Xenopus tropicalis: one gene and its partners. The protein of the gene in region 1 interacts with the protein of each later gene in a pairwise test. Links are inferred from orthologs where the notes say so. Each region holds a gene or a part of one and is shown on either strand. Other genes may lie near its edges.

The links.
Region 2: the proteins of amotl2 (region 1) and smarce1 interact in binary tests that used the Homo sapiens proteins (3 or more experiments, as listed by UniProt). The two-hybrid records come from large-scale screens. The link is inferred for Xenopus tropicalis from reciprocal best matches to the Homo sapiens genes AMOTL2 and SMARCE1.
Region 3: the proteins of amotl2 (region 1) and nfil3 interact in binary tests that used the Homo sapiens proteins (3 or more experiments, as listed by UniProt). The two-hybrid records come from large-scale screens. The link is inferred for Xenopus tropicalis from reciprocal best matches to the Homo sapiens genes AMOTL2 and NFIL3.
Region 4: the proteins of amotl2 (region 1) and thra interact in binary tests that used the Homo sapiens proteins (3 or more experiments, as listed by UniProt). The two-hybrid records come from large-scale screens. The link is inferred for Xenopus tropicalis from reciprocal best matches to the Homo sapiens genes AMOTL2 and THRA.
Region 5: the proteins of amotl2 (region 1) and rad51d interact in binary tests that used the Homo sapiens proteins (3 or more experiments, as listed by UniProt). The two-hybrid records come from large-scale screens. The link is inferred for Xenopus tropicalis from reciprocal best matches to the Homo sapiens genes AMOTL2 and RAD51D.
Region 6: the proteins of amotl2 (region 1) and mfap1 interact in binary tests that used the Homo sapiens proteins (3 or more experiments, as listed by UniProt). The two-hybrid records come from large-scale screens. The link is inferred for Xenopus tropicalis from reciprocal best matches to the Homo sapiens genes AMOTL2 and MFAP1.
Region 7: the proteins of amotl2 (region 1) and gcc1 interact in a two-hybrid assay, tested with the Homo sapiens proteins (2 studies listed by BioGRID and IntAct). The two-hybrid records come from large-scale screens. The link is inferred for Xenopus tropicalis from reciprocal best matches to the Homo sapiens genes AMOTL2 and GCC1.

Annotation. Positions count from the first base shown.
Region 1 is NC_030681.2:130,254,009-130,258,274, reverse strand, and holds the start of amotl2 (angiomotin-like protein 2), read left to right. Parts: upstream 1-1,466; 5' UTR 1,467-1,654; intron 1,655-2,961; exon of another isoform or gene 2,962-3,044; intron 3,045-3,246; 5' UTR 3,247-3,326; coding exon 3,327-4,018; intron 4,019-4,266. UniProt on the Homo sapiens protein: Regulates the translocation of phosphorylated SRC to peripheral cell-matrix adhesion sites. Required for proper architecture of actin filaments.
Region 2 is NC_030686.2:8,354,895-8,358,394, reverse strand, and holds part of smarce1 (SWI/SNF-related matrix-associated actin-dependent regulator of chromatin subfamily E member 1), read right to left. Parts: intron 1,675-3,500; coding exon 1,502-1,674; intron 1-1,501. UniProt on the Homo sapiens protein: Involved in transcriptional activation and repression of select genes by chromatin remodeling (alteration of DNA-nucleosome topology).
Region 3 is NC_030677.2:138,768,826-138,772,373, forward strand, and holds nfil3 (nuclear factor interleukin-3-regulated protein), read right to left. Parts: upstream 2,323-3,548; 5' UTR 2,185-2,322; coding exon 796-2,184; 3' UTR 501-795; downstream 1-500.
Region 4 is NC_030686.2:9,068,652-9,072,151, forward strand, and holds part of thra (thyroid hormone receptor alpha), read right to left. Parts: intron 1,663-3,500; coding exon 1,516-1,662; intron 52-1,515; coding exon 1-51.
Region 5 is NC_030678.2:94,393,672-94,397,171, forward strand, and holds part of rad51d (DNA repair protein RAD51 homolog 4), read right to left. Parts: intron 3,250-3,500; coding exon 3,188-3,249; intron 653-3,187; coding exon 534-652; intron 1-533. UniProt on the Homo sapiens protein: Involved in the homologous recombination repair (HRR) pathway of double-stranded DNA breaks arising during DNA replication or induced by DNA-damaging agents. Bind to single-stranded DNA (ssDNA) and has DNA-dependent ATPase activity.
Region 6 is NC_030679.2:107,684,031-107,686,905, forward strand, and holds part of mfap1 (microfibrillar-associated protein 1), read right to left. Parts: intron 2,594-2,875; coding exon 2,461-2,593; intron 1,104-2,460; coding exon 916-1,103; intron 1-915. UniProt on the Homo sapiens protein: Involved in pre-mRNA splicing as a component of the spliceosome.
Region 7 is NC_030679.2:89,152,956-89,155,707, forward strand, and holds part of gcc1 (GRIP and coiled-coil domain-containing protein 1), read left to right. Parts: intron 1-36; 5' UTR 37-58; coding exon 59-528; intron 529-2,319; coding exon 2,320-2,752. UniProt on the Homo sapiens protein: Probably involved in maintaining Golgi structure.

The DNA of each region.
Region 1 (4,266 bases):
CCCACAGACCTGCAATCACCCATGGACAGGCAATAAAAAAATTGACAATTAAGAGACTTTTGTGGAAAACTGCATTTGTGAGCCTGAAGGGAGAAAATGCAAAATGAGAAGAAATTAGCACTTAGCTGCAATGTGTTCAGTCTGGGCATACCAGTTATAGCCGTAGAGATAATTGTGGAAAGGTCTGCCATAAACTATGACCTACTGTCATTTATTTTCATCAAAGGGAAACAGATCAGCCCCTTGACGGACAGTAAAGAAGCCCTTCCTGGCCAAGCAGAAAGTGGCTTTTTTTATGTTACAACAGGCTATTTTCTCAGTTGTAAGCTAGGTTCCATGCCAACGAGCACCATAGATCTGTAGCCACTGATATGAGACAATGGCTTAATTGGAATAGCAAGCTGTATAGCCAGTGAATACAATAGCACCTCCTGCGTATAGCATTCTTACCCAACTCTGCTCGGGGTCCGCGGGCATTATCTATTTCTAACAGAGAGTATATGTGCCTGAATATCTGCCAAAATAAAATGTGTAGTGGCTGGCTATGCTTAACGAGGGAATAGTATCAATTTCTGATTCATTTTGATTTTCACCACAATTCAGCATTGTACCCCAGAGTATCACCCAGGGGCATTGCAGAACCCAGTACCACTCAGCGGCCTAGTTGATATGACCCCCACACTTTTAGTTTTTTGCATCGGAGCAGGTCAGGGGGGGATGCATTTCTCTAGCAAATCTGAAATTCCTATTTAAAAATTAGAATATTTGCTCTTGAAGATATACTGGGGGGGGGGGGGGCAAAAATATTTAGTTTTTTGGGTCTGAGCAGGTCAGGGGGGATGCATTTCTCTAGCAGAGCTGCAATTCCTATTTAAAAATTAGAATGTTTGAATGAAGATATATCAGGGGAGGGGGCACAATAGTAACTTGTAGTGTGCAGCTGCCTGAGGTAAATTTCCCAACTGCCCTTATGGCAGCAGCGCCACAACTGCACTGTAATTGTGGGGCAATATTAAATGGTGCCACTTCTGGTGTCATTAAACAGAATCATGGTAAAATTGGCTTGGAGCAAAGTCAGTTGTGTCCATGGAAGCAAGGGGGGGACCAGGAATTACCACAAGCTCTATTTAAAAAAATCTGATCTCTAAGTCTGAAAGATGTACCCAGGCGGTATTCTCGTTTGATGTACAGTTATTATGAGCTTCCGTGCCTGTTATTGTAAGGCAGTGCGGACAGCACAATTAGGCGCCTCATAATTAGCCGCCATTATACAGAAACATGTAATAACAACAGTAATGCGTGCTCTCTGCTAGCGGCTCCAACGCGGGGAGATCTTCCGCCCCCAGCGGCCGCTCACTGGAGTGCAGCCCGGAGGGAAAGTATGAGAGGAGGCGGGCAGAATGCTGAGTGGAGGAGGGAGGGAGAAAGGTTATGTGTGGTTATAGCTTTATCCCAGGGGGAGCCTGAAACTCTCACATTCCGCGCATAGCAAAGCTATTGAAGCACTAGAGCGGCGTGAGTGCTGCGGGATCAGTCTGCTCAGCGCTCTCAGGCAGCACACAGCTCACTGCGCACAGGGAAAGTACGGGCACAGTCGCACCGACACAGTCGCACCGAGAGCCCAGTCTGCTGCGCACACACTGGCTATGCTCGGGTGAGTACGCTCTTTCCTACACTCTGCCCTGCGCTTGCTTTTACCTTTATTTTCTGTTTTTATTTGCGCACTGTATGTACATATCGTACCCCCGGCGCATTACTGCGGTCTGTGAGTCACATGTCTCGCAAGCAGCTAGAATAAGGACAGTTGTTTATTATACATGGGTACCATTGCTACACAGTCTTTCATTAAGCTGGTGTCCCGCAGAACTTGCAATCTAAAAGCTGCTGCTCTAGAATGAATAGAAATACTTCTTGTGTATGTCTGTCTGTATTTATATTCAGTTTCTTGTATATGCAATAATGCTCAATGTAGATAATGTATAATGTTTGTGTTGGTACCTGAGCAACTCCCAGCACCCACAGCTTTAGTCTATGTGCAAACTGTTGTGTTTCTATATATGTATGCATGTGTATATACCGTATGTCTTTGTCTCTATAGACTTATCTATAGAATAAAAGCCCCCAATGACTGGTCATTTGTCACAATGGTATTTATGTAGGGTGCTGTTGGTGCCTGAGAAATTCTGGGGGCCTGTGATGCCTGAGTATTGTATATTCCTTGTGTACAAAGTGTCATCTAAGGGACAACATTTATGTCATTTTAAAGGAGACAAAGGGGGGATTAGCAGGTGTTTTGCCACCTTAGCCATGGCAGCAGCAATCCACCAACTATATTCTATTCTTATTATGATTCTTGTTTTTAGAACGGGCCTGTGTGGGGTAGAGGGAAGGCTGCAATTCACAAAGAATGTCAATTGCAACACAAAGAAGCCAGTGATGTCACTTCTTAGCTATGCTAAAGGTGCTCTCGCCTCCTACGTGCTGGAAAATATTTTCCCGTAAGAGACAAGGGAACGTTCAGGTTTGGCCCTATGTACATACCTATATATATATATAAATATATATATATATATATATATATATATATATATAAATATATTTTAGAAGTTTTAGTGAAAGGGGGAATTTGTTGTGATGGCTATTTATACTAAATCTGCTACAAGGAGTGTTTAACAGCATTAAAAGATTCTTACATGCCGTATTTTTGTTGGTTAGGGATGGAATCCCAGTATTTATTTTCTTTGCTATGGAGGCCTGAAACTAAATAAATACTGGCACTGTTTTTGGTTGTTCAACTTCAACTAGGAAATGTGGAATTCAAGGGGAGGGCTATAAGGCAGAGGCAGCAGGGGGGCATACCATAGATACAGTGGGCTTTATCTACATAGAAAGGGAGGTGTGTGTATATGTGTGGACAGGAGGGGGGGGATTAGTAAAGGGAGGAAATTCCATTCCTCTGATATCCATCACCTCCAAAAAAACAAGCAGTTAATTGCCTAAAAATCAGCAGCTTACAAGTCAATGAAGCTCTATTTCTTAGCAAAGTAAGTAGAACGTGTGTATGTTGTATTGGAAAATCCAGTTAGAATCCTCCAGGGTTCTTTGTTCCTTTGTGAACATGACTTTTAAGCATTGTGAACATTGACTTGATGTTATGATGAGACATAAAACCATCACTGTCACATCCTTCTTGTGTTATTTGGAAGAATTTTGTCTTAAAACATATATTTTTTTCTTGTTCCACAGGCTCTCCCCAACAGTCGAATAGGATTATAATCCATTACTTATATTTTCCACTTGACTGAGGATTTATTTACTTGTTAAGGATGAGAACAGCCGAGGATTCCTCTGGAACGGTTCTACACCGTCTCATTCAGGAGCAACTAAGATATGGGAATCTTAGTGATAACCGTACATTGTTGGCTATCCAGGAGCAGGCTCTGCGGGCTGGAGGTGGCAGTGGAAGTCCCAGATCATCCCTAGAAAGTCTTGAACAGGAAGAGATTCAAATGGCTCCTTCAGCAAGGCAAGAACCCCAAGGCCAGGAGTATCATTGTGACTATTTCTACTTGGAAAACCCCATGTATAAGGCTCATGAATTTCAACACAAAGGCGAGGAATTGCCAACTTATGAAGAAGCCAAAGCGGCACTCTCACAGTACTATGCAGCCCAGAACACCCAGCCAGTGGAACATGGTGGTCATCGGCAAGACCAATCCCTTAAGGATTTGAAACATGGCCATGTCAGGTCCTTAAGTGAACGTCTGCTGCAGATGTCTTTGGAGCGAAATGGTGCCAAGCCTCAAAACCTTATGAGCTCCTCTCATAGCTTCCCACAGCTTTCAAGGCATTACCAGCTATCGGTGGCTCGTGAGCAACAGGAAGATAGGGGACAGTATAGGGGTGCTCCTCCGGAGTACCCTCATTTTAATCAACCAGTACAGGACATACGAGGATACACAACAGAACAAAGGCATTATTCTGGGGAACTGCCTGTATATCACCAGTCTGAAGTCAGGTGAGCACAGACTTCTAACCATACTATGCAAACATCTTCACGATGTAGATGGAATATCTCTACTGTAGGATTGCATTTAAAGTTTACCCTTTAAAACATCTGTCAACTGGAGCATGTTTATTTATAATGGCATGTTGGCTGTAGATCAATATTATGGAATTCCAGCCATCCAGTAGTTATTGTCCACTGGCCAGCCACAGTATTGTAAAGAGTGCGCAAATACGTAATTTATGTACGTAGAGAAGTAT
Region 2 (3,500 bases), on another chromosome or scaffold:
TTTCTAAATGTATATTTATTTATTTATCAAGATATTTCTGAAATTAATAAGGATATACTAAAAACCTAGTTTTATTGGAGTCTTTGTTTTGTCCAGATGTTTGCAATTGCTGCGGCAGTTTATTTGCCCTCTGACAAAGGGACACACGGGCTGGTAACTGGGACTGTGGAAACAAACTCACAGGAGTGTTCTCATCTTGAAATGAGTTGCTTATTTTGGAGCAATGGGCTTTGGGTTAATTATGTGCACGCAGACTACACCCAAGGGAGCGGCTCGCTTCTGCCCTGTTTCTAGTTGTGACACAGAGTGGAGAGACAGGTTTACTAATAAAAGAAAGGGCATGCCTAATGTAACACCTGGAATTAGAGCCCTTCTACACCCAAAGGTTCTAAAGTAGGGGCCCCCCATCTGCTCAGCAGTACTGAAAGTAGGGGCACCCCATCTGCTCAGCAGTACTGAAAGTAGGGGCACCCCATCTGCTCAGCAGTACTGAAAGTAGGGGGCCCCCATCTGCTCAGCAGTACTGAAAGTAGGGGGCCCCCATCTGCTCAGCAGTACTGAAAGTAGGGGCCCCCATCTGCTCAGCAGTACTGAAAGTAGGGGGCCCCATCTGTTCGGCAGTACTGAAAGTAGGGGGCCCCATCTGTTCAGCAGTACTGAAAGTAGGGGGCCCCATCTGCTCAGCAGTACTGAAAGTAGGGGGCCCCATCTGTTCAGCAGTACTGAAAGTAGGGGCCCCCATCTGTTCAGCAGTACTGAAAGTAGGGGGCCCCATCTGTTCAGCAGTACTGAAAGTAGGGGGCCCCCATCTGTCAGCAGTACTGAAGTAGGGGCCCCCTCTGTTAGCAGTACTGAAAGTAGGGCCCCCAGCAGTATGAAAGTAGGGGGCATCTGTCCAGCAGTACTGAGGGGGGCCCCATCTGTTCAGCAGTACTGAAGTAGGGGCCCCATCTGTTCAGCAGTACTGAAAGTAGTACTGAAAGTAGGGGGCCCATCTGTTCAGCAGTGAAAGTAGGGGGCCCATCTGTACTGAAAGTAGGGGGCCCCATCATACTGAAAGTAGGGGGCCCTGTCTGTCAGCAGTATGAAAGTAGGGGCCCATGTTCAGCAGTACTGAAAGTAGGGGCCCCATCTGGCAGTACTGTAGGGGCCCCAGCAGCCAGCTGAAAGTACAAAGTAGGGCCCATCTGTTCAGCAGTACCCATCTGTTCAGCAGTACTGAAAGTAGGGGGCCCCATCTGTTCAGCAGTACTGAAAGTAGGGGGCCCCATCTGTTCAGCAGTACTGAAAGTAGGGGCCCCCCATCTGTTCAGCAGTACTGAAAGTAGGGGCCCCCCCATCTGTTCAGCAGTACTGACAGTGGGGGGCCCCACCTGTTCAGCACTAAATGCATTCACCTTCATTTAGCACCAAAGGCACGTAATGCAAAACTGCTTCCCCTGATATTAAAGGCCAAATCAAACAAACTGCAGTGAAACCAATAGAAATGTAATTTCCTTACCTGGTGCACCATGAGAGACTGAACTTGTCTTTTCAGAACCTGCATTCGAGCGGTCGTGACCACGGAGCGGACGTCGGGCACCACGCTCTCGCTGAGAATTTCACTGATGAGCCGGTGGTTCCTCTGGAAACGGGCAGCGGCGCTGTGCTTCATGGAGAAACCATCGTCATAATCTGGGGGGGACAGTAAGGGAGAAGTTCAGGGTCTGAAGCTGCAGGGGAATGTTAGTGAGAAATGGTTCAGCCCAAAAGGCTATGGGTCCAAAGCTCCCAGCTCAGTTAGCCGTCACTAGGGTAGTGCTTACCCTAGCAACTACAGTGGTTTGAAAGACAGATGGAAAGATTCTCATTAAAAGGCAGCGCTCACCCTAAAAACCAGAGAGAGAGATGTGCTCTGATAAATACACATCAAAGTGTTTGGTCTGTAATGATTGGGGGCATATATATGACCCCGGCCCCTCCCTAGTTCCTCCATAGCTGGTACAAACAAAATACATTCTATCATCTGGAAACCCATTGTTCAGGAAGCTCTGAATTACAGAAAGGCTCCACTATAATCAAATAATTCTAATTTTTTTTTAAATGATTTCCAATAAAACAGTACCTGTACTTGATCCCAACTAAGATATAATTACCCCTTATTGGGGGCAGAACAGCCCTATTGGGTTTATTTCATGGTTAAATGATTCCCTTTTCTCTGTAATAATAAAACAGTACCTGTACTTGATCCCAACTAAGATATAATTACCCCTTATTGGGGGCAGAACAGCCCTATTGGGTTTATTTAATGGTTAAATGATTCCATTTTCTCTGTAATAATAAAACAGTACCTGTACTTGATCCCAACTAAGATATAATTACCCCTTATTGGGGGCAGAACAGCCCTATTGGGTTTATTTAATGGTTAAATGATTCCCTTTTCTCTGTAATAATAAAACAGTACCTGTACTTGATCCCAACTAAGATATAATTACCCCTTATTGGGGGCAGAACAGCCCTATTGGGTTTATTTCATGGTTAAATGATTCCCTTTTCTCTGTAATAATAAAACAGTACCTGTACTTGATCCCAACTAAGATATAATTACCCCTTATTGGGGGCAGAACAGCCCTATTGGGGTTTATTTCATGGTTAAATGATTCCCTTTTCTCTGTAATAATAAAACAGTACCTGTACTTGATCCCAACTAAGATATAATTACCCCTTATTGGGGCAGAACAGCCCTATTGGGTTTATTTCATGGTTAAATGATTCCCTTTTCTCTGTAATAATAAAACAGTACCTGTACTTGATCCCAACTAAGATATAATTACCCCTTATTGGGGCAGAACAGCCCTATTGGGTTTATTTCATGGTTAAATGATTCCCTTTTCTCTGTAATAATAAAACAGTACCTGTACTTGATCCCAACTAAGATATAATTACCCCTTATTGGGGGCAGAACAGCCCTATTTAGATTTCTATTCAATATATAAAGGGTAAATAAAACGAAGGCAGTGAGGAACATTGCTAGGTTCCATACTGAGCCGGATCACGTTGCTGACACGGAGTTATAGTCAGACAAACAAGGACTATTAAGGACGCTGCAATTAAAGTGTTTGGTAACACGCAGGAACACGCTCTGCTTGAATAAAGATAACGCCTAGAAATTATACCTGTGTAATCACAACATTCCCGAGTCAAAATGTGCCAGCTGTTAGATTTACTCAGGGCGAGTGCCCGGCATTCTACTGGCGACAAAAATATGCGCTGCAACTCCCAGCTACTGACTCATGTGCCCCTCTGACAACTGAGGCTATTGGGGACTGCTTAGAGCTCTAACTGACAGGACTTTAACCCCCATATGTAATAAAAAGCACTAAGTTTGCCCAGAAGCAGTAACCCATAGCAACCAATAAGATGCTTGCTTTTAAACAGGTGACCCACAAATTCTACCTATTCTTAGATTGAGATTTATCTCTCCTTTATAATACAGACATTGGAGCGGTTATCCAGAAAGT
Region 3 (3,548 bases), on another chromosome or scaffold:
TTTTATATTCGGATCTTTAAATAAATAAGTCAACATTCGTGCTTTTTTAATTTGTGAGTTTTTTCATGGGAGAGCAGTCCACAAAAAGTACAAAAGTTTGAATTTTGATAAATGGGCCTCCACATGTGTCCGCCATGCCCACATGGGCAATAGCCACATATCTGAGTGACAGCTCTTTGAAAGAGCCTGAACACTGGCATTCATGGAGCTGCCCTAGGGGATGGGGATTTGGGGTGACTTGAATACCTGGTCTCAAGCTACAAAAGGTATTGGTCTGGGAGCTATTAAGCTCTTACTTGAATATAAGTTTCTGATGATAACAATGACAATAATTGCATTAGTAATGCGGTCATTACATTAACATGTTTCTATCAGCTTCTTTCATAGTGGATGCTGGAGTCTGATGTAAAGAAGAACATTGGCAATATAGTTGCGGATCCCAAAGCGCAAACATTATTATTTGTGTCTAATAAATTTCTAATACAAACCCGAGGCACATATTTTTCACCAATACTTTATTTAACTGGTAACTTTCACAATTTATAACAGACTGGCAAAAATAATGTTTAAAGATATTTACAGCCTTGCATTGGCTACCTATCTGTACACAAGGCATAGTGATCATAACACAGTTGTGCACAAAAAAGGACAATATTAAGTAGACATCATTACTTGAACAGTACAGTGAAATGACGTCACAATACCAGTGAAAACTGAGCATTATACAAAACATACCAATTTACTGCAAACTACAATCTTTACAATATGCATATCATGAAAAAATCAGTAGTACTTTTAACTGGAATTGGATGCACAGATTTCCTGGGTTACTATAAGTCTTTTAAGGGTTGCAACCTCAGCAGATAGATTTGCAATACCTTGCTTTAAATATAAGCTCTCTGACTCAGAGGCTTTGAAGACATTGTCTTTTATATCCACAATCCCAGATGTTTTACAAACACTTGGAATTTTATCAAGTTCCCTGTGGTGCCACTGACCTGGTTTTAGTGGCCAGTCCTGTATATTAGTTACTTGAACTGATAAAGGTGACAAAGAAGAATGTACCATGGTTTCACTGTTGTGTTTTTCCAGCTGTAAGTGCCGCTTTGAGGACATATCAATTGGCAGGGTCAGTTTTTGAGTGCTATTAAGTTCGCTTTCCAGTGCTTCTACTTTAATCTGCATAGCCTTTGCTTTTATGCGGAGCTTGTGAGGTAATGCAGAGGAGTTCACTTCTGGAACCTTTATGATTGTCGTGTGCCCGTTTTTAAGTTCAACTGGGGAATGAATGGGACCTTTAGGAACCTGCTGTTCATCCTCACCATCAGACGTCTTTCCTACCACACCTTCATCTGCTTCTGATGTTCTCGGAGAGTTACTCGACGATCTGTTTATGTGAAGAAGTGGAGGAGAATGTGAATACCCAGAAAATGTGTTTCCAATATAATTGGTATATATAGAGCCTTGGAAAGTGTTACTGTCTTCTCTGGCATCTCTAGAAAAGTTCTCCCTTTCCATAGGTTCCTGTTTAATTCTTTGGAAGTTTATATCAGTACTTCTGCAGTTGCTCTGGACAGTGCTCGGCTGAACATGCTCCACGGATGATGCCTCAGACACATCAGACAGAGAGCTTTGTGGGGAGTGCTTGATAACTGAAATACAACTGCTGGTCATTACAGAATGTTCATGATCACTGTTATACGACATTACATTTGGTTTGGAAGATGAGTATTCCTGAAAATACATAGCAGTGGAGGTTGTGACCTTTTGTATTTCTTGGGCATAGGAAGCAGAACTAATCAAGCCAAATTTAAGTTTTAAAGACAGCAGTTCTGTTTTCAGACTGGCATTCTCCTCTCCTAGTGCAATAAGTTTATTTTCCAAAACCATGTCATTTAATCTCCGTTTTTCTCTCGACCTTTTTGCAGCTTCATTGTTTTTCCGTCTTTTTTCCCAGTACATAGCATCTTTCTTTTCATCTGGGATAAATTCCCTTTTCCTCCGACATGAGGAGTTTTTGTTTTTCGCTGGTGCCCCTTCGCTGTACAACATATCATTGCTGGAGTCCATGGATTCTGACATGTCTGGTATGTTTGAACTAAGAACAAGAATATTTTCCATATTGTTGCGTGAATCTGCACATTCCTGCTCTCTTTTAATGGTTGGCATTTTTCTCAGCTGCATGAGAAGGAAGTGGAGTTAGAAACCTTCTGCAGCTCCTAAAAAGAGCAATTTCACGTCAACTTGAAGCTTGTAATTAGATTAAATTCCATCTGCTGGTAATATTTCCTTCATGGCCTCATGACAGCCAGGTTGTAACCATTTCCGTTATATGCTCAGGAACAAAAATTTGACCTGGAATTAAAGAATAAATAATTAAGTTGTGTTTACATACTATTAGGAAACAGAAAACTAGTATTGAAGGTAACCATAAAAGTCAGCATTAGAAAGAACATTAAGGTAATTCTATGTTTTATATCTCAGTAAAGACCTCATTTACAGTGCACCAAAGGTCACATGGTTGAATTCCTCTGAGATTTGCAGAACTATTGGTTTGCTAATATAACCACAATTACATGCACTTCTGCAATCTTACAAACCATGTTCTAAAAGTCCTGTCTGTGGTTCATATACTACAATGATCTGGAAAAATAATTACGTCATGAAAAGAGATTTTTTTACTACTTAGGGCTTTCTGCTTGTGACATTGCATGGCTTTTGTCTGAAATTGCAGGGAGCAAGAGGAACAAAGACCTAAATGATTAATTAGTACTAAAAACTGAAAAAGAAATGGAAAAACATGCGGTAAGAGAAAATCCCCTACGACTTAAAAAACTCCATATATTGTAAACTCAGCCAACTATAAATAATCCCTCCTTTAAAACAAAACCAGTGTAAACAAATGTATTAAAAAGATATAGAAAAATTAAGGGTGATTTATAACAATCAACAATAATTTAACAAACAAGGGTTACAAAATAAAAAAGAACATAACTGTAACATTCCACAACTAGCGAGGCCGGTCTACAGATGTTTCTTACTTTACACGCTTACAATCCATGCAGTCCTATTATTATTATTAACATTTATTTATAAAGCGCCAAAATATTCCGCAGTGCTGGATTATAAAGCTGCCTACAAATATAAATATAATACTGTATATACATTTAGGTCATGGGAAGGATGGGAACAGGTCACATGAGAATACAGCCAGTCTACCTCAATTCTTGGCAATGAAGTGGATTTATATGCCAATTGCATCAGGCAGTTAGGGGAGAATTGGAAAGAATGGTTATTTGCTTTTTTTTGACACCCCTGAAAACCCAGCTGAAGGTCAGAAAATTGGGTGGAAATGTATTTGTTGTCCTAGATATTCTTGAAACTATTTACACTTTATCAAAAAATTAAAGGATCTTCAGTGGCCAGTCAAAAAGGGCCAAAGTAATTGGGACACAGCCCCCAGATTTAAAAGGCAAATCAAGCAACAATATCCAAATGTATCCCAAACTCAACACAAAAATTCAAAAGAAAAATCACATTTTGACTCA
Region 4 (3,500 bases), on another chromosome or scaffold:
GATCTCCATACAGCATCCTTTCAACAGGATGATCTGATCTTCACAAGGCAGCTGGTGGGACAGGGGACATATTTTTGAATGTAGAAGAAAGGCACTGATTATAAGGAGCAGGAGGAACCATGATGCAGGGGGAAGGGACCTTTCTAATAACAAGGAGAAAAGGGGAATTTAGCACAGAAATGCATGAAGGTTCCTGAGTGCGCCAAGTAATTGTAAAGGCAGGGCCCACTGGGGAAAACCAAGTGGGCCCTGCCAGTCCAGACCTGTTCCCCAACTGCTGTCCCCCACCGGTTGGGTGAGCAGTGAGTCAGGGGGGGAATAAAATTATACATTATATGTATCTGTGGCAAAGGGGAGACCAACTGGTTGGGTAGAGGTATGAGATCTATTATTCGGAATGCATTGGACCTGGTGTTCTTCAGATTACTGGTCCTTCTTTTACAATGGCATGCCATGTCATACTAACATTTAGAAAACAGGACCAGTTATTAGTTATTAAGTACAATGTAGAAAAGGCAAATGAGTCAAAATGCATTGTTAGTGTAAAGGAAAACTATACTCACAAACAATGTTTGTCTCTATAAATATATATTGCATAAAGTAGCTCTAAATAAACCATTTTCATGAAAATATACTTTTTAGTAGTATGTGATCTCTGAGTGAGTATACAGACCAGCACAAAATGGCAGCTCAAGGGAAAGGATGTAAAAGGGCAATATTTACTGATATATAGTCTAGTTTGGTAGATTCTTTAATGGGCCACACTATCTGTTGGCTAAGTATTCATTCTGAGGGTATAGTCCTTAAAAAGGATCCTGTGGGCAAAGGGAATGCTGAAATCAGGGCCTTTCGGGTTTTTGGATAATAGATCCTATACTGTATGAAGAAAATTGAAAAAGTGAGAGGTATATTGGGTAGGTGTGTGTAGGACATGGAGGCTTTGTTACAGAAATTCAGTGTGTGTATAGTGTGTGGGAATATGTACCTATGTGAATGGCGAGGTCATTCCTTGTAAGGGTAAATGCATGGAACATTTAATGAAAGGGCAGTTGAGGAAGAACACATAATAGATGGCTATCTGGGGCGGAACATTTAATGAAAAGCTGGGTAAGGTGGAACATTCACTGGAGGGCTGAGTGGGGAGGGAGGGCCATTCAGTGAGGGGGGTAGAGTGGTTGGGGAAGAACATTTAGTGGAAGGATAAACTGGAAAGAAATGTCACTGGTGGGGTGGAAAGAGGGTGGGTGAGGAGAAACATGCAGGGGGGGGGGGGGTCGGTAAGGAAGATTCAGTACAAAGGGGGGTAGGCATTTCATGCTTGAAGAAAAAGAGAAAATGAAAAGGTCAAACATGATCAGTGAGGTATAAAAAAGGAAATGCCATCAATAAAGCCATATTCAAACTGTATATGTGGGAAGCGGGACATATACAATCCGTATTCTGAACATTTAGGTACAGGTACTTATATATTATGTGATGTATACGGTCACTTGCTCTTCTGTGTCGCACACTCACCTCAGAGAACATGGGCAGCTTCTTAGCAAAGTCCACCACTCTCGTAATTGCTGGGGTTATTATTTTGGTGAACTCACTGAAAGCCTCCAAGTCAACTTTATCCCCATCTGGCATGGAAGCCATGGGAGACTGCCCGATATCTTCCGGCTGTAACATGGAGAAGGCACAGAGAGAGAGAGAGAGGTGGTGAAGGCAACTACTCAAGAAGTAGTGGAGACTGGGTGAGACAGTACAGAGGGAGAGACAGAGAGCATGGAAGCCAATTATAAGATAGCAAAGGAGAAAGAAAGAATGAATATGAGTGAACACAGAACTTTAAACAAATCAATCTATCTATCATCTATCTATCTATCTATCTATCATCTATCTGTCTATCTATCTTCTATCTCTGTCTGTCTATCTGCCTATCTTTAGACGTATGCAGAACTTTAAACGTTCCAGTAGAGGGTGTTGGTAATCCACATATGATATAATGGGTGGCGGTGGAATAGAAAGCGTGTCTAATCCACGTGACAGGGGGAGGAGAGGGAGACACAGGGGGAGGTAACTTAGGAAGGGAGGGGAGAGTAGAGAGGCGGTTGCTCCCAGTTGCTTCTAACCCTCTCTGGCAAAGCACACATGGCTGCGTCACCCAGAGCCCCGCTTGCAATACTGTGGCCACATAAGTGGGAGGATAAAGGGTTAAAAGCCCCCAGAAAGAAAATGAGTGCCCCGGGTACAGGGTGCCAAATATCAGCAGGACAGGGTGCATACGAAATACACAAAAATGTACCAAAATACAGAACTATAATGGTAGATGCCTGGCAATGAGCGACATGTTGCACCCATAGAAAGTTACCAACATGCACTGCTTCCAACAGGAGGCTAACGGGACTAATGCACCATGTGATGGGAATGCAATGCAGACATAGCCTGAAATATAGATCCATATCCATAGAGACAGCCCTGCATCAGCATAGAATGCTTAGCACATAGATACCAGTAATGTATGAAGAGCCGGGGACCAGAATGCACTGGGGCTGGACATATACAAACGCCTTTATCTTCGCATTTACCGAGGCACACAAACTAGCAAAGATGTCAGATTGTATTTTTATATTAATTTATTTTCCAGGTTATTTCTCCAGCTATTTACAGCGCACAGCGGACAAGGGGCTCGCTAATTGGCGGAGATCAAGGACAAAAAAAGACGAGGGTGCTAGTGGCAAAATAATGTAGAGCGGCACAGAGGTAATTATATCATGGTAGCCATTTATGTAGTACTGTCAGAACCACTGAGGCATTGGGAGGGAATGCATTGCTGCTGATATATGCAGGGAATAGGGAAGGGTAATTAGGAGAATGTACTGAGAGGCGCCATTAACAGCACATAGAGCTAAGTGGGAAAGTGCAGGCTGCACTGCTACATAGAGAGGCACCTGTACCTGAACCATCATAGGCACCAGGGGGGCAGCACATGCTGGGGGACATACAGAACAGGCAGGGCTATACACAGGCACAGGTAACAGAAGGCAGGGCTATACACAGGCACAGGTAACAGAAGGCAGGGCTATACACAGGCACAGGTAACAGAAATCAGGGCTATACACAGGCACAGGTAACAGAAATCAGGGCTATACACAGGCACAGGTAACAGAAGGCAGGGCTATACACAGGCACAGGTAACAGAAGGCAGGGCTATACACAGGCACAGGTAACAGAAATCAGGGCTATACACAGGCACAGGTAACAGAAGGCAGGGCTATACACAGGCACAGGTAACAGAAGGCAGGGCTATACACAGGCACAGGTAACAGAAATCAGGGCTATACACAGGCACAGGTAACAGAAGGCAGGGCTATACACAGGCACAGGTAACAGAAGGCAGGGCTATACACAGGCACAGGTAACAGAAGGCAGGGCTATACACAGGCACAGGTAACAGAAGGCAGGGCTATACACAGGCGCAGGTTATAGAAGGCAGGGCTATACACAGGCACAGGTAA
Region 5 (3,500 bases), on another chromosome or scaffold:
AACTTGTTTGCAATACACATACTGGTTGTATCGTTTGTACAAGTTCCCTGATCAGCGCACATGCACAGATGATATCAGATGTTTCGCCGACGCACAGATTAAATCGAACCGGTTCGTGACTGCTTAGATACAGTGCACAGAAGCACAGACAGAGTTAAAGAGATTAACCCTTACAAAGACAATGTTATGACAGATGTTTACTTTCATGAATGGGAAGCAAATACTCAGACCATCATAGCAGTAAAAATTCAGGTGCGTCATAGGCTTAATTTTGTATGATAATTTTTTGTTACTTTATAAACTGGTTAAAACACACTTAGTTCAGTATTGTGTGTGCTAGTCTTTTTTTTAATCTTATTTTTTGTGAGGATTTGTGAGACGTTCAGACATTCCCACCACAGACCTGCAAAAGACTGATCATGGTTAGTACCTTTTTAGGATTAGTAAAATAAGCAGCTTTGAGATTCAGCACAAAGCAATGTGACACTACACTTTTCTAATCATTTTTGCTTATGAGATGAACATAATCTTACTTTCTGTTGCCTGTGGGTAGGATGGCTGTGGAACTCTTAAGCTCTTCATACACATCAGCTCCACTGGAGGGAAATGCAGAGTACTGTGCCAGAAGAACACGCCTCACTGCCATTAATGTCTGAAAATACAGTACAATTCTAAACACACTTTTAAAATAGAGTGACTCTTTTTAGTTCCCTTTAATTAAGGTGAGAAGCTGGAAGTTTCCAATTTGCCCGCAAACCATCACAAAGGGAAAAAAAACACATGGTATATGAAGTGTAGGACAAATTACTTTGTGATTATATAATTGCTTAGCTCTAGGGGGCAGATTTACTTTAACATTCCTCATTTTTTTCAAATTTGAATAAACTTATTTTCACTGTCTTACATTTCTAAAAAGTCTGAACTGAAAAAGTTTGCATTGGAAAAGTTGCAGAAGAGTCATGAAAATTCCCAATATTTCGACTTGTCCTATGAATACTGCAACTTTTTCAAATTGTCAAACAAAAAAACAGCATCAAAAATCCCAAACTTTTAAACTTTCAAAGCAAAAGAAGGATCATCCAGGGAAGGGACATATGCCATTGACTACATGATCTTGGCAAGTTTTAGCTAGTGAATTGCTAGATTTAGATTTTTAGCCGTTTTGACGCATAGTAAATCTTGGAAAATCACAAACTTTTTACCTGCAAATTTTAGCACTAAAAGTCTAAATGGAAAAAAAAATCTGACAGTTAGTTAATGGCCCCAGTCTAATGCAACCTTTTAGTACAGAATCTTGTTAAAGGCAAGCAATTACTGTAGATCTAGGAATACTGCAATAATAGACGCCAGACAAAGTAGTCCACATAGTAACACTGTAATTTAGGAGCCATTTATACTTCTGCCAAGTGGGTCTTGAAACTCTGACTTCTCTATCGCATACACTGAAAAAAAGAACTGATTATGCCTTTCTACCCAAATTATTACTATTTTTAATGAAGCCCCAGTCTTAACCTGTATGGGATTGGTCTTTGAAATTTGGTCAGTCCCTTATTGGTTTTCTTTACCTTTTTTGATTGTTGTTTTTCAACAATTGTTGAATTGTTATATTTTTTAAAAGAAGCATTGTTGCCCTCTGACCTATTCCTACTAGCTTCCGTACTTCTGATTAAAGCCATATAGGGTGGTCCTTAATACTCTTACTGTGTAAGAGTAAACAGGAAAGATTTAGCAGCATTTTAAATGAAAACCATTACTTAGTTTTTAGCATAAAACTATGCACTGAGGTACTGATCTTAATGTGTTTGTTGACCTAATGTATATTTATTTTTTGCAATAAACATTAAAGTGGACCTGTCACCCAGACATAAAAAGCTGTATAATAAAAGCCCTTTTCAAATTACACGTAACCCAAAGTCATTTTTTTATTAACACATCTATACCCATTATATAAGCATTTTAAAGCCCCAGCTGTCAATCATATATTGCCTGACCCACCTCTATGCCTTAGGCATAGGGGTGGGGCAGACAGTTACTTTCACTTTCAATTCAGAACTTCTTAGATATCACTGCACTCCTCACATTCCCCCTCCCTCCTCACCATCTAATTGTGTAACCAATGCATAGATATATGTATCAGGTCCCCCCATACTGGCACAGAAACAAGATTTTAGCAGGATACACAGCTTGCCTTAATAACAGTGTCCACAAAATGGAGCCTGCCTGTTTTCTGCAATTGTGAATTCCAGTGCTGAAGGAAATAAGTTTAAAATAATTTATAAAGTGTAATTGAAGTTTATTTTGCTTGATAAACACAATAGAAAACAATTTGTAATTATTTCTTAGGGTGACAGGTCCCCTTTAAATGATGTAACGTTATGGTCCTCAGAGTTTATATTACTTGTACATTTGCTATATGTTCTGGGTTGTTAGAGATCATTAGACCCATTATAACATGATTCCCAGTTTCATCCTAACAATCTGTTACATAAAATGGTAAATTAAGAAGTTTATAAACTTGTTTTCATTAACTGTCCTGACAGTACTGTTGCCCCAGTCAACATCTAGGTAGTTAAACTCTCCCGTTATCATTTCATGCCCCAAACTAGCAGCCTTTTATATCTGCAACAGCAGCTTAGCCTCTTCACTTAAGGTCCGATTCTAGCTGCCGATATCAGTCCCTTTAGACTGATTCGGCAGCTAATCGGCCCGTGTATGAGCACTATATATCTGGCCTGAAATCGGGCAGATCTCGGTCAGGCAGGTTAAAAAATCTAGTCGGATCCAACTTTGCCTATACCCGCCGTAATAATTGGATCATTTGGCCCCAGGGCCAAATGATCGAATTAGCCTGGATTCTCCCGATATCGCCCACCCGTAGGTGGGGGATATCGGGTGAAGATCCGCTCGCTTGGCGACATCGCCAAGAGAGCGGATCTTAAGGTGTATGGGCACCTTTACACAAGAGGTCTGTAGCATACCCCTACAATTAATTTGCCTAAGGCTTTACAATCTGTTCAAATTGTCCCCATTGACTTCTCTGGCAATTAACTAAATTAACTCATGCAAGTACCTGTCAGGCAATTTTACTTAGAGACATAGCAGTCTGCATTTTTGTAATAAGATATGCAGATTAGATAAGCAAATCAAACAAAATCTAAGAGAATTTTAAAGAAAAAATATACACCACCTTGTATGACAGGGAGCATTTTCGTGCAAGCTCTTCCAAATCAGAAGCAACCAGATCAATGACTAAAAGTTAGAGACAAAGTATTATAAAAATATCAAGACTGGCTTATTGAACTCCATCATTTATATTGTTTAGTATTAGTTATGTTAAAGTTTTCCATTAAATAAAGAACAGTTTGTAATGTTAACAAGCTGGGTGTAAAAATAAGAGTCTACAGGTATTAATATGTGTCTAATTTCTAGTCTTTTTGTTTGTACACAATTACAGTTAGACAATATGCAGGGTACAAAAGTTACAAAACCAATTAAATATA
Region 6 (2,875 bases), on another chromosome or scaffold:
TGGGAGAACGTACATTACAGTAATTGTGACTTGTACTACTGATCTTGCTATGAACTAAATGAATAAATGCTGAAACACAAAGGGGGTGTTAGGGGTCTAAAGAAAAAAGAAAAAATGTGATTTCTACAAATAAAATTTCCCGATACAATTGAAATTAAAGGGAAGTCCTAAGCCTGCTTATATTTTAATATACTTTAAAATCAGACAGTTTTTAAACAACAGGGATTTTGGAAGTATGGCCTTAAGATTGTAAGCTCTTGAGGCTAGGGTCCTCCGATCCCATTTTTATTCTATAACCCAACTTTATATATAGGACACTGCAGAACACTGCACAACTTGCTGGTGCTACTTTGCAAGGCTTTCTGGTCTTTGCCATACCGCAAGTCAAATGTCACAGTTGAGACAACACAGGCAGAAGCTGTGCCTTGGGCTAGAGAAACCAAGCCTAAGAAAATTAATTATAATTAACAATCAACTGCCCCAGGTGCTGGCCAGAAGTTTATGTAAACGAAGAACAGAGTGCTGCACACACAGGGACTTAAAAAAGAACACAAAATCTTTATTAATCCAATCCATTAAAATGGATTAATAAAGATTTTTTGTTCTTTTTTAAGATCCTGTGTGTGCGGCACTCTGTTCTTCATATAAAATGTATCCTGCAAAAATGCACAATTAGCAATTTAAATCTCTTAATCATCATCTAGCATGCCCCTCACATCACTGTAATTTGTGTAAGTCAAAACCTCAACCAGATAGCAGTTAACATGTCAAAAGGATGGGCTATAAAATAGCAACATAAAACCAGTAATACATAGTGACCAAATGCAAATGGACTTAGCATGGCATTCTTTGAATCATAATAAAAGTCAATTTAAAGGTGAACCCACATTTAAGGCATACTAGAAAACCACTTACTTTCGGATAAACACAGGCTTGAGTCGCGGTTCCATTTCATCTTCACTGTCAGTGTATTCTTCATATTCAGACTCGGATTCCGATTCTTCCCCTGATCTGCCCTCATCCTCTACCTCCATCACTTCCATTTCATCGTTTTTTCTCTCTTCAGCTCTTTGACGCATCATGGAACGGCGCCGCTCTATTTCCTGATTACAAAGCGAGCAACAAAAATATTTTTGGAATCAACAGGAACCACTGACATGACAAATGGACAACCATGGAACTATACATTTGGTAAATGGGATGTAAAACAGACTGTTCTTATTAAGCCCAGAAGAAAGAATATTTCTAGCCTTGGTAACAAGTATACCCAATCTTATTTTTATGAAATTATTTCACTTACTACCAATTATATATTGTGACCCGTAGAAAAATGTAAGTCAATGGTCTAAGACAGCAGTGGGCAAAATAACCCAGTGCAGAGTCTTTCAGTGTAGTTATCAAATCAAGGTCTAACACATTAGGTCAGTGCTGTCCAACTGGCGGCCCGCGACCCCCCTCTGTGTGGCCCCCCACCTGTCTGGCTGCTTTGATAACTTAACTTTGTGTAAGCTTTAAATGGTATCAGTACTGGCCCCCTTCATGGTTAACAACTCAGATTCAGGCTGTAAACCCCCTGTATTGTTTAAAAATGTAATCCCCTGTGTTGTTCACACCTTTTAATCCCTACATTGTTCTTCCCATGCATTGTTCACACCTCAGGCTCAGGCTGTAATCACCCACATTGTTCACCTGTTCACACCCAAAAATAAACCCTGCACACTATAAAAAGAACATATACTGAGGTGGTACTGCAATTAAAAAGTTTTTTAATATATAGTTATTGTGCAGACTGTAGGAGCAGTGGCAGCATTGTGTCACTGTAGGCTGCCTGTGTTTGCCATACTCTGCCTGCCCTATGCTGCCTGTGTGTGCCACACACACAGGCAGGGTAGGGAAGGAAGAGTATCGCACACACAGGCAGGGTAGAGAAGGCAGAGTATGGCACACACAGGCAGCATAGGGCATACAGAGTATGGCATACACAGGCAGGGTAGGGAAGGCAGAGTATGGCAGGTTTTTGCTGTACTACCACCATTAATATGGCTATGGTTATGCGATAACATGGGTGTGGTTTCAAGTGGGTGTGGTTTTAAAAAGGGGAGTGGCCAAAACTAGCTTCCATTAGCGGCCCTCCACCACAGAGGCCAGAAAAATTCCGGCCCTCGGTGCCACAGAAGTTGGACAGAACTGCATTAGGTTATAGTTTGCCATAGAAAAGGTGACTTCAATGCATTATACCAAGAGAAACATGGTTTTGTTGCATTTATTTCAACAACACGTTTTCTAAGCCATTAGTAGATCTTACTCTAGCTAGTATAATTTTACTAAAAATCATTCTTGCCCATAACAAGCAGAAACAGAAATGAAAAATGAAATTGAAAATAGTCCTTCAGTTTTAATTAGAACTGAATGTACTTTATTATAACATAGGTTATTTGGCAAGGTTATATCATAGATTACCTCATCATCTACTTCTTCCTCTTCCTCCTCACTAGTGTCCTCTCGATCCATGCGCCAATCCTCTGCTGGCTCAGGCTCAGATTCACTTTCCCCAACTACTTCAGGCTCAATAATCTTCCGGTGCCTGGCCAACCTGTACAAAGAAAGCATTTTTTGTGTCAGAAAAGTGTCACCCGATTGCCCCATGGCTTTGCACCTTATACTGTATTAATAAAAAAAAAAAAAAAAATAGGGCACAACATCTGCAGAAATGCAAAGAAGCCTGTTACTACCTGCTTCCCTGCAAATTGCAGAGGAAAGACATTTTACTGCAACCCGTAGCACGTTCATAACAACTTAAAACATATGTGTTCAGCTGCATAGTGGTATTGTGTAATATCCCACAAGATTTGTCATCCACTTTGCTTTGTTTGCA
Region 7 (2,752 bases), on another chromosome or scaffold:
ACTCCCTCTTTTCTTCTACTTTTATATAAAAATCAGAATGCTAAGCTGATCTGTTACCATGGAGAAATTAGGCATGAGTTTTGGAGGTGGCCCAAGTAAGAAGGAACTTCAGGAGCAGGTAGAAACTCAACGGAAGCAACTACAACAGTACCAGGGTCGACTGAAGGATGTTGTGCGAGCATACAAGAGTCTTCAGAAAGAAAAGGAGGCCCTTGAGGCCAGTCTCCATGTACTTTCCACTACTCAGGAGCCAGGCACTCTTTTCTCAGAATCTGAAGAGGCACATGATGACCAACATTCCATACACAGTGAGGATAGTGTGGACACAGCAGGTAGTCTTCCCAGTGCTAGAGGAGGTGAGACGAGTGAGGATGAGAGACCAGATCCTTCTCAACGAGGTGGAATAGAGGAGGCCAGTGGTTCAGAGAGTGGGGTCAGCACTGCCAGTGGAGAGGGAGGTCAAGCCACAGCAGTTGAGACTGACCGTAAGATGGTGCAGCTGAAAAACCAGCTTTCTACACTAACTAGGTATGTAACTTAAATAGGTTGTTCCCCTTATTACACTTAATTTATTAATTTTTTAAATTTGTGACATACAAAGTTTGTTTATATTAAAGATAAAGGGCTAAGTGTCAAACAAACAAAACCATGTAACAACCCCTTTAACTGTGTTTTAAAGGAGAACGAAAGGCTAAGTCACCTGGGGGTGCCCAAATGTTAGGCATCCCCAAGTGACTTAGATCGCTTACCTTGTACCCTGGGATGGTGCCCCTGTTAGGAGAAAAAAGCACCAGCCCAGGGTACCTGTAGGAAGCGCTTCCTCCTTCCTCTTTCTTCTCCCAGTGAAATCCGTCGGCCGGTGCATGCGCAGTAGAGTAAAAAGCCGACTTTGTTTTTAAGTTCGGCTTTTCACTCTACTGCGCATGCACGCGCAAGCGAATAGGAAGTAGGAAGCGCTCGCTGCTACCCCGGGCTGGTGCTGTTCTCTCTGTACAGGGGCACCAGCCCGGGGTAAAAGGTAAGCGATCTAAGTCACTTGGGGGTACCTAACATTTTGGCACCCCAAGTGACTCAGCCTTTCCTTCTCCTTTAAATATAGAAAGAACTCAAGGAACAGTTTAGCTTGTTTATGCATATCATATGTATGTTTATGAAAAATTAAGAGGAATGAAAATATGATGGAAATAATGCTTTATATAAACAAAGCTGCTGCTGTGTAGCAGTGGGGGATATCTATCGTTTAAATTAACTAGTAGTGTTTCTAAAGCAAACGCACAATTGTTACCAGTGCATGTTTCTTTAACCTTTTTTCTCAAGTGACGAAAAATTAGTTTGAAGAACCAGCTTCATGACTAAAATTGGTTTAGAATTATATACATTGTTTTGCTGACTATTTTCTACTGTAGCAGTATATCCAACTTTATTCACTGTTATCACACAGATCAATCTTGAACAGTGTGAGGCTCCATATTTGGGTCCCAAGCCATTGGTTAAAATCATTTATTTTATATTTGTACTCTGAGTAGGTGGATTCCCAGCATATATGTTTGGCATGTAACTTCTAAATACAGGGATACCAAGCATATAAATATATACATTAAGCATATATTTGTGTAGAGGTAACAAACATAGACTCAAATCTATTTCAATGCATGTTTCTTTTTTTTTTTTTTTTTTTTTTTTTTACTATATTCAAATTAAACAGTCTGTCAACTATTTTCCTGCCTCACAGTGGCATATATATTTGCTTACCTTTTCCCTTAACAGCAGGTTAAAGTTTAAATCCTTTGTATCTTATGAAAAAAATAAGCTTTTTGGCGTTTTAGCAGCTATCTGGCTGCTAAGGTGCAATTTTACCAAATAACCAGACAGTGCTTTGAATGTGAGACTGTAAGAAGAACAGGACAGGAACAATAGTGTTTTTTTGGCCAACAGGGTCAGTGACCCCCATTTCAAAGCCTATAGAAAATGCAGACAAGTTGAAAAGTTGCTAAGAATTAGACATATCTAAAAAATATACTAACATTAAACATAAGGGTAAACTACCAATTTAAGTATATTAACTCATGCATCTAGTACTCCATGTTATACAAAACACGTGACTTTTGATATAATAAACAAATACTGTATATTTTTGGTGCCCGGGCAGTTGTAACAACCTGTGTTTTTCATATTTTTGTTCAAAAATGTAATTGGTTAGTAGTAATAGGTATTTGACTTTATTTTTACTTTATACTGAGGCTAAAAAAAAAATATTTCTTTAAGTCTTGTTATGAGGTTTTTTTTCTTTTTTTTTTTTTTTTTTCTTTAAACTTATAGTGCTCTGGCAACAGTTACACAAGAAAAATCTCGCATGGAGGCTTCTTATCAAGCAGATAAGAGGAATGCAAAGCAGGAAATGGAGGAGTTGATGCTGAGTTTTGTGCAAGAGAGGACCAAATTGCAGGAAGAAATTCAGAGCATTCAGGAGCAACTTGCAGAGACCAAGGCCAGATTAATTAGCCAGCAACATGACCGTGCTCAGGAGCAAACAGACCATGTCATTATGCTAAAAGAGCTTCAGCGACTCTTGCAAGGAGAACGAGACCACCGTCAGGAAGCAGAACTCCGACTGGAGGAAGCAAGACAAGAGCTAGCAGGCAAGCTAGCAGGAATATCTGAGCTAGAAGGAAGGTCTGAGGTAGCAGAAGAGCAAAACAGAAAGCTGCGTAAAGATCTTGAGGAACTGAGAAAGGAGATAATGGAAGCTAGA